Linked DNA regions of Caenorhabditis elegans. The protein of the gene in region 2 purifies or fractionates together with the protein of the main gene of each other region. This does not show direct contact. Each region holds a gene or a part of one and is shown on either strand. Other genes may lie near its edges.

Region 1 (5,954 bases), on a different chromosome or scaffold from region 2:
TTTGTTGGCAAAAGAAAACCTTTAATTTTTCGATATTTTTCAAAATTTTTAAAAATTTTTCAGAATGTGCATGACACTCGGAGGTCGCGTCGCCGAGGAGATCTTCTTCGGACGAATCACAACTGGAGCACAAGATGATCTACAGAAAGTTACACAAATGGCATATTCACAGGTTTGGTTTATTTTATTTTACAGCTTTATTGAGACGGAGCAAAAGTTGCAAAAAGTATTCGAATTTAATCTAAAACCGGCGATTTCTTGTCGAGAGCCTCTGTCAATCCTTCACAAATCGTCGACGCAATGCCAGTGTCCGGATCCACGTTGCATGTGCATTTGACTGGAGCCGAGCCGCTGAGAGCCGTGAAAATAATCAGAATTTGGAGAAGAAGAAGAAGAAGAATCAGTTGAAATTTCATGATTGAATGGATGGGGGAATGTTTGACTGAAGAGCTCTGAGAGAGCAGCTTTATCTGACATATGAAGTCGATTATGTTTTTGTTTCGGCGGGAGGAGAGCCAAGGAGAAATAGTGTGTGAAAAATGGAGAGTTCAGGCAAATACCAGAAGACATGTGTGAGCTGCTTTCCCGATTGAAACCATTTATTTAGAAGAAAACAGAAAAAGAATAAGATGAAAAGAATAGGACAAATAAATTAGATTGAAAAACAAAGAATGTAGGCACTCGAATAAATAGCTTAATGACGCTGAAGCAGGTTGAGCAGATGCTGTGGAGTTACGTATTGTCCACCACCACGACCATTATTTGGCGAGCCATTTCCGAATTGGATGCTTCCTTGGTCGCCGTTGGTATTTGGCTGAAATTTGAGATTTTCGGATACTAGATTCCGTGGAAATAGATTTCCCGAAAGACCCCGCCCATTTATTGACTTTTTCGGGGTTTTTTCGCTACAAAACTAGGTATTTTTAAGGAGGAACAGTTGGAAGGAAGCAATTTTGGCAGAAAATAGGCGAAAATTTGGTTTTTCGGAGATTTCATTCCGTGGAAATAGATTTCCCAAGAGACCCCGCCCATTTATTGGCCTTTTCGAAATGTTTTCGTTTCAATTTTGAAAAACGGGCAAATTTGTTGGCCAAAAATGTACAAGAAGGCATTTAAAAGAGAAATCTCAAAAACGATACTTATGACTCCTTGGAAGCAAATCCACCAAGAGGCCCCGCCCATTTATTGGTATCTAGCATTTTCATCTCGAACTGAATTTGTTTCAAAAAATGGCCGGAGCTCTTTAAAAAACATGTAAAGAGAAATCTTCAAAACGAATCAGACTCCGCCCATTTAATGGCTATTTCTAGAATTTTTTCGCTACAAAATTTTGTATACAAAACTGTGTGGAGATTGTGACCTTTTGAGGAAAAAAAACGCGAAAATTGCAATTTTTCAAATAGTAAAATGCACTCACCACAAAAATGACGTCAACTCTGTCCAATCCTTGATTAGTATTTGATGCTCTTGGCTGATTCTGCTGATTCGACACAAACGGATAACCATCTTGTGTTGTGGTTGTCGTCTGTCCATTTCTCTGATTATTGCATTCATCCAGGCGGTTTCGGAGACTTCTCATTTCGTTTGTCGTCTGTGCAGCAGCGTTTCGCAATTCATCCACAAGGGCTTTGTTTGCCCTATTGGCGTTCTTTTCCTTTTCAAGTTCATCACGAGCATCTTTGGCGTCATCTTCTGCTCTTTTCTGACGTCTGTTGGCTGTCTCAACTTCGTCCTTTGCTCTATCAAGATTCGCGTCCGAGGATGTTAGTTTAGCCTCCAATCTCATCACGTTTAAATCGAGTTTCAGAACTTGATTTTGACTCTTCACAAGTTCTGCAGACTGGCTATCGAAATTACGTTTCAAACTGACCATTTCTGCTTCTAATTGTCTTTTTTCCGCTTCGAGCTCATCTGCTTTGTCAACCTCCTGAAAAAAGGTGTCCTAATTTTTTCGAGGTGATTTGAGATTACCGCACCTTTTTAAACTTTTCCACCAGCCTATTATACTGGGCTCCTGTGTATGTCTGTTGTGCGTTTGGACCGCTGTAAAAAGGTGGAAATTAAGAAAATTATCGTGAATAGATGCACCGAACTTTTCTGCTTTACCATGAATGTCTTAAAATCACTCAAAAAATCACTTTTTGCTTAAAATTTGCCTTTTTCCTTATGGGGTTATTCAAGTAGTGTCGGAAAATTAAAAAGTGTAGAAAAATTACGTCACAACCTTATTCAAGTATATAAAAAACATGTATTTAAATACATTTTTGACGTCACAAATGTATTTTAATACATTTTGCTACATTACTTGAATAACCCCATTAAATTTTTGGGAATTTTTGGAGAATATTATTTTATTCATCCCTTTAAAAATTTTCTGAATCAATTTCGATTAAAAAAAAATTTTTTAAGCAAAATGCCGATTTTCTGAAAAAAAAACGTTTTTTTCGGAAAATTTTTTTTTTTAAGTATCGATCCTAACCAGATGTGCCGCCGAAAAAATTTTCCATTTTTCCATTTTTTTATTGAAAAAGTGCAAAAAGCCAAAAAAAGTCCTACATACCATGAAAAAATTCCAAAACGTTGATTTTCTTGATTGTTATGAGCTAAAACTCGTATAGTTTAGGGTATTTTTTACTGTTTTGAGCTTTTGAAAAAAAACAACTTTTTTTTTCTAAATATTTAAAATGTGTTTTTTGGCATTAAAAAAATAATAACCTGGCCGAAGCTGCACGTGGTGCCAGGCTGTCCCATTACGACTTGATCTACAAGAAATGCGGGAATTTTTCTCCCAGATAAATGTGACGTCAGCACAGTCTTAGCCATGCGAAATCAGTTAAGAACTCTGCGTCTCTTCTCCCGCAATTCTCGTAGATCAAAACGAAATTGGTGAAGATGTACAGCTGAATTTCTCGGAGCAGTCATCAGTAACAAGGGTGTCATTTTTCGATCTTTTCGATTTTTCGGTGAAATTCGAAAAATCGAAAAATTGGAAACCGAAAAACGAAAATTTTCGATTTTTCGATTCTCTGGTAAATCGAAAAATCGAAAAAAATGTTCCAAAAATTAACCATAAAATATGATTTTTTATCTAATTTTGCTTATATTGATAAGAAAAAACCTTGAAATTTCTTCTAAACCCAAAATATTAAGCTAATTTTTGAAAAATCGAAAAAAAAACTTTTCCGATTTTTCGATTTTCTGAAAAAAATCGAAAAGTCGACACCAGGGGTGGGCATTCTTGATTGATTGATTTCTTGACATTTTGTCAAGAATCCCTCCTCAAGAAATTTTTAATTCGAAATTTAGGCTGAATTATTTTCCAATTTTTGTAATTTTCAGAATAAAATAACTCAAAAAACATCATAAAACCCGATTTCAGTTGAAAGAATGAGGATTGCAGAAAGAAATTCAAAAAGATTGACAACATCTTTATCGAAAAATGAATAATTTTGCACGTTTTGTCAATTTTTGAAGTTCCTTCTGTTGATATTCGTTTAAAAAAAAGTTAAGACTGAAAAATTGAACTATTTCTTTCAATTTCGTTCAAAAATATTAGCCGAATGAAATTTCTTGATTTTTCTTGATTTCTTGATTTTTTCTTGACATTTAAAATCAAGAATTCTCGATTGATTGATTTCTTGACTTTGAAAAAGTTTTCCCACCCTTGATCAGTAACACTCTTTTATCGAAAAAAATTACTAATTACTATGCCATATCAAAATCCGAGATTTAATTTAAAGATTTATCCCTTGTAAGTCAGAAAAACCTCACCCTCCTTGAAGATTGTGCAGTGAATTCATAATACTGGCCAATTGAGTTGATGTAGATGCTCCTAGAACGGCATTCTTCGAATCATTTGTAGCATCAGAGGAGACGCAGGCAGCGATGAGAATAAGAAGTATGATCTTCATAGTTTGTTGAGATGGTTGATATTAGAACGTTCGTCGGGATTCCTTATATAGTAAGATTCGGTACCAGGCAGTGTGCGGGAAGAGAATGAGTCAGTCAGTGGTGTCGGGCAGTGTGAAATTACGGATGTATCATTATTATTATTATTATTATTCATACTACTATTGTAGTATACATTACATTGCACAATTGCTGCACACAATAATACAAAGACCTTTTTCCTTGCAGGTCGTCAAGTTTGGAATGAGCGAAAAGGTCGGACCGTTGTCGTTTGAGACACCAGCTCCGGGAGAAATGGCATTTGATAAACCGTACTCGGAGGCCACCGCACAGCTCATTGATCAGGAGGTAGGATTTTGGTAGAAAATTAGTTTTTTTCTACGAAAAAATTGGAAAAAATCGAAGAAAAATGATATTTTCTGATAGTTTTCAGAAAAATGGCAATATTTTGAAAATTTTAATTCAAAATTAATTTATAATCTGTGGGCGGACTTGCCGATTTACCGGAAATTTTTAATTCCGGCAATTTGCCTATTTGCCGGAAATTTAATTTCCGGTAATCTGTCGATTTGCCGGAAATTTTAATTTTCAGCAGTTTGCCAATTTTCCGGAAATTGTCAATTCCGGCAATTTTCCGGTTTGCCGGAAATTTTCAATTCCGGTAAATTGCCGATTTGCCGGAAATGTTCAATTCCGGCAATTTGCCGTTTGGCAAAAATTTTAAATTCCGGCAATTTGCCAGTTTTCTGGAAATTTTCAATTCCGGTAATTTGCCGATTTGCCGGAAATTATAGTGTTCAGCAATTTGCCGATTTGCCGGAAATTTTAGATTCCGGTAATTTGCCGATTTGCCGGAAATTTTCAATTCCGGCAATTTGCCGATTTGCCGGAAATTTTCAATTCCGTCAATTTGCCAATTTGCCAAATTGCCGGAAATTCTCAATTCCGACAATTTGCCAATTTGCCGGAAATTTTAACTTCCAGAAAATTGCTGATTTGCCGGAAAAAATCGTTTGCGCGAAAATTTGACTTTAACCGAAAAATCCAATTTAAAAAATCACCCAAAACTATATTCGATTAAAAAATACAAAATTTTCAAAATTGCCGGAATAAATTTTTCAAAAATTCAATTCATTTTTAGTTGCTAGAGAAAAACTACAGTTTTTAAATTTCTCAAAAAATGATGCGTTCAAATAAAATTTCAAAATTTTCTGGTCCTGGAAAATGTTTTTTCTGAAAAATGTTTTTAAAATTCATGAAAACACTAATTTCAAAAAATTTTCTAGAACGTTTTTTTTTTGGCGTTTCGAAATGTAGAAAAAAAAATGTAGAAAATTTAGAATATTAAAAATTTTAACATTTCCAGGTCCGAGATCTCGTAATGAACGCACTTCGCCGAACCCGTGATCTATTATTGGAAAAGAGAAGTGATATTGAACGAGTCGCATTGAGACTTCTTGAAAAAGAGATTCTTAATCGTGAAGATATGATTGAACTTGTTGGAAAAAGACCATTTGTTGAGAAGAATACGTACGAGGAAATGGTCTCAGGTACCGGAGGACTCGATGAAAATGTTGAACTTCCGAAAGGTCTCGAAAATTGGAATAAGGAGAGTGAGAAGAAGAAGAAGGACGAGGAAAAGAAGAAAAATGATGAATAATTTGTGAAATTTTATTTTTGAAATTCTGGCGAAAAAATGGGGAAATTGCACATGTTTTGCTCTTTTTTCTGAAGTTTCAAATTTTTTCTCTCAATTTTTGAAAAAATAGACTTTTCTAAACTTTGAATAGCTTTGTCGCAGTAAAAAAAATGATTTTTCAATGTGAAAATGTGAAATTTTTGACTACATGGAGCATTTTCTGTGACAAAGTGCATAAAAATTTAGAAAATCCAATTAAAAAAATAATAAAATGCCAGAAAAAAAACCAAATTTCACTAATATTTTTTTTCTGATTTTTTTCTGTGCGACCGGATCTCTTCGAATTTCTTTTTTTTTTCTAGACTCAATTTTTTCATTTTACTGTTATATTATATTAGTTTTGTAG
Region 2 (4,051 bases):
CTTCTCCCACATCGAGGCATGGCTATACCAAACCGCATGGCTCCGACATCTCAAATTCACAAGTGCTGTGAACTTTGTGGAGTTTGAGAAAGTCAATAAAAAAGTTAGAAGAAGTAGGAGCAGAAGTTTGCTGCTAATTGACTGCATAACGATTTTTTTTTCAGGGCACAAATGGGAAAGTGCAAGCAAAGGGGCCTTTTTAAAGAAGCTTGTCGATTAGTAGCATACTGATAACATTTTTATTGAAAAAACTGAAAATGGAATGATAAAAGTAGGACTGAAATGTGCATTTTTTATTCAAGAAACAAAAATGAAAGAAAAGCAACAATTTTAATTGTTTTTCTAACGGCTGTTATACTGTTCGATCATCTTTTCCAACCCGAGCAAAAAAGATGAAGTTTGTCCCCAGTCAAATATTGGCGGCGGAAGCTCAAAATTTTGTTGATGCCCATTATGTTCCGTCATTATCGTTGCAGTCCAAAACTTATGATTTTTATGTTCCTCTTTAAATAATCAAACATTTCAACAAAAAAACATTTACTAAATGTGCTCACTGAAATAAATCTCGAACTGATTGGAATGCGTATCAATGAAGGCACGCACATTGAAATTTTTTGGAAGGGACATACTATGCAGTCTATCGGTATCATGCACATATCCAATAATGAGCAATGGCTGAAAAACTTTAAAAAGGAAAAGCAATAAGTACATTCTAACTCACTTTTTGCTGGACAGCCATGATGAAAAAAATAAAAATAGGAATTTCTGTTATCACTGAGACTTTGAAATTATCTATATGTTTTGTGTTTAAAAATTGAAAACAAGCTTACTAAAATACAATTTTTTTTAACTTCTGAATTAGAAATATCGCCAAAAACCCACAAAAGGAGTTAATCATCTATTCCTCTGCTTCTTCAAAAACTCATCAAACTCCCCGATCATTTTTTCCAATCGTTCCAAAAAAACTGCATCCCGTATTATCCGTCCACCTCGATTAATTCGAAGATTGTAGGGAAATTGACTATAATACCCATTCTCAGTAGGTTTCCACTTTATCCTAGCTTTCCATTTGTGAGAAGATTCGTCTTCACTCAATCGCTCTTAATTACTCTATTTTTTAACTTCAATCAGTGCAAAACTGTGCAACTTACGAAAATAAATATCAAACTGGTGTGACTGCTTTTCTATGAACTCGTAAAGATTAAAATTATAAGGAATCGACATATCATTCCCGACCATACAGTATTCAATTATGAGCATTGGCTGTAAAAATGTTGAAATTAGAGACGGCTTACGTAATTTCCAGAACTGAACATTTTTAATTTCCAGAAACTAATTTCCAGAACTATTTCCAGAACTGAACATCGAATTTCCAGAACTGAACATCGAAACTGATCAAATATTTTATAATTGACGAACGCTCTTCACTATAGGCCTGGGAGTACAGCTTCCACTGGGCTTTAATTTAAGCCATTTCCAAGGTATCATTTAGGTGGAATCAGGTACACTGCCTGGTGGTGCCCCCGTTGGGATATAATTTAAGCCACCTAGCCTGGGACTGTGGCCTATAGTCTAGTCGTGGATTGCTCCACTTCCAAATAGAGGTTGAGTGAACTAAGGGGGTGAAGCCGGGCTTGAACCCGCAACCTCGAGCTTTCTAGCGGCCACCACTACCAACTGAGCTTGTCCTATGAATTTGAAAACTACATTATTTTATCGAAACTCACCTTCTGTTGAGCAGCAAGAATTTGAAGCAGCTGTGAATCATTTTCAATAAACCGAAGTTTTATCTTTGGAGCTTGAACAGGCTCAATCTTTAAACTACACAACTCAATTAGTTCATCGAGCAAATAGAATTGAGCTTCTGCTAGCAGCTCCTTCACTGTGAGTTCACAACTGGGTAGAACCACGTCACCATCTCGCATGAAGTTCAGTATCAAGTCAAAATGTTTCGGGGAACGATCAATAAAAATACTCCCAGATTCGTCGATTTTTAGCTGAAAATTTGAAAGTTCAACGGGAAAAAAAAATCAGGAAAATCAAACCCCAATGTCACTCTCCAGCATAATTTTTAAAAATCCATTGAACTTTGTTAATGTAGATTTTGAAGTTTTGAATATAGTTCCACCAACGTCCAGTTGTACAGTTTCACTCATTTTCGAAGAGTTTTCGAGAAGAGAAAGAGAGAAAAAATGGAGTAACAGTTTGTTATCAGTTATAAGATTATCGTGAGCTTAGGGAGAAAACTGACAAAACGCCAAACTTTCAAATTTTAAAAAATAGTTGAGGGTCATTTTGAAAACACCTTAAGCTCCATAACTCGGCGAGTTTTGATGGAATTAATTTGAAATTTTACACGGAAGCTTCTTAGTGGCCTATACGTCTCTGTGTTAAATTTCGCTTTGATCGGCCAACGGGAACCCTTTGAAAAATGAAAAAAAACGCTGTAATCCTAACCCTAAATAGCGTCAGTGGGGGAGCTCCCGCTCTCCCACTGACGCCAAGCCTGAGCCAAAGCCTAAGCCTAAGCCTAGGCCTAAACCTAGATCTAAGGCTAGTCCTAATCCTGCGCCTAAGCCCAAACTTATGCCAAAACATAAGTCTAAGCCTAAGCCTAATCCTACACGAAAGCCTAAGCCTAAACCTAAGCCTAAATCTAAAACTAATCCTAAGCCTAAGCTTAAGCCTAAACCTAAGCCTAAACCCCTAAGCCTAGGAAAATATTTTTTTATTACAAGAACACTAAAATCTGAGAATGAGTACTGCACAACATATTTGACGCGCAAAATATCTCGTAGCGAAAATTACAGTAATTCTCTAAATGACTACTGTAGCGATTGTGTCGATTTACGGGCTCGATTTTTTCTTTACATTTTTTTTTTTGTTTTTTTTTTTTCAATATTTTACCGGTAAAATATTGATTTTAATTCATTTAGAAAATTGAGTTCGTAAATCGACATAAGCGCTACAGTAGTTATTCAAAGAATTACTGTAGTTTTCGCTGCGAGATATTTTGCGCGTCAAATATGTTGTGCAGTACGCATTCTCAGAATTTCGAGTTTACGTAATATAGCAGTTCATTAGGGCGCACTTGAGTCCTTCCAAGAAGTAAAATACACAGAATCCGGTGAAAAATGAAATTATTTATTAAACCAATTTCTGTTGCATTTTTAATGCAAAAAAAGGAGTTACTCGTAATTTATTACAAATTTTTGACACGTTCATTATAGATTATATAAATTATCTAGAAAAATTTCTTGAATTTCGTGTAGATTGCGGCGATGGCGATGAAAGGAGTGATGAAGACGACTTTTCTGACGGTTTTGGCAAGGTAGGTGGCGGTTGCTGGAAATGTTGAGGGTTTTTTTAAATATAAAAATCGATAAAAAATTAATATTTACCAAAAATTGTGAAAATTTGTGGCATCTTCTTCGCCAGAGCCCATTTTTTCGACGATTTTCGGGATTCTGGCTCGGTTTTTGGCGATTTAAATATGCTCAGCCATCCTCTGGATTTTAAATCTGAATTTTCGGCGGAAAGATTCAGGTTTTGCATTTTTAAATCGGAATTTTCCTTCGATAGATCTTTCAGTGATTTTTTGAGTTTTGCAGTCTCAGATTCCGCGTATAATTTTCGTTTTTCCACAATTTCATCGACACCGGCGCGCATTTTGGAAGCCTGAAATTAATTTTTAAATATTTACAAAACTTTTAAGTGAAAACCAAATAAATACCGCATTTTTCACGCCTTTCATCGAATCTTCTGCGCTCGGAACTGTTTTTGCCACTGTTTTTATTGAGTCGTAGCACTTTTTCCACATAATTTTCGCTGACATTTTGTGGTCTGAAATTTTAAATTATTAATAAAGAAAAAAGAAGAAAAATCGCAAGAAAAGTGAAAAAAAAAATGGAGAAAATAAACCTTAAATAAATGAAAATAAGCAAAAATAAGCAAACGCGCTCCACCGCACATCATACAATAAAAACCGCGGGAAGCTTTAAATTTCAAATAAATATCAGTTTTTTTCGTTGGTTTTTCTATTTTTTCAGTT

The links.
Region 1: the proteins of F22E5.8 (region 2) and Y47G6A.15 fractionate together in Caenorhabditis elegans (co-fractionation; one large-scale study listed by BioGRID). This does not show direct contact.

Annotation. Positions count from the first base shown.
Region 1 is NC_003279.8:3,472,381-3,478,334, forward strand, and holds Y47G6A.15 (DUF148 domain-containing protein), read right to left. Parts: upstream 3,921-5,954; 5' UTR 3,912-3,920; coding exon 3,772-3,911; intron 2,044-3,771; coding exon 1,977-2,043; intron 1,928-1,976; coding exon 1,418-1,927; intron 815-1,417; coding exon 695-814; 3' UTR 585-694; downstream 1-584. Other genes in the region: AFG3-like protein spg-7, read left to right, coding at 64-172, 4,138-4,257, 5,276-5,569.
Region 2 is NC_003280.10:2,638,186-2,642,236, reverse strand, and holds F22E5.8 (BTB domain-containing protein), read right to left. Parts: upstream 2,200-4,051; 5' UTR 2,157-2,199; coding exon 2,046-2,156; intron 1,998-2,045; coding exon 1,728-1,997; intron 1,264-1,727; coding exon 1,152-1,263; intron 1,101-1,151; coding exon 895-1,100; 3' UTR 829-894; downstream 1-828. Other genes in the region: F22E5.7 (TransThyretin-Related family domain), read right to left, coding at 1-147; F22E5.23 (uncharacterized protein), read right to left, coding at 343-503, 555-675, 722-739; F22E5.9 (uncharacterized protein), read right to left, coding at 3,245-3,345, 3,402-3,678, 3,734-3,835.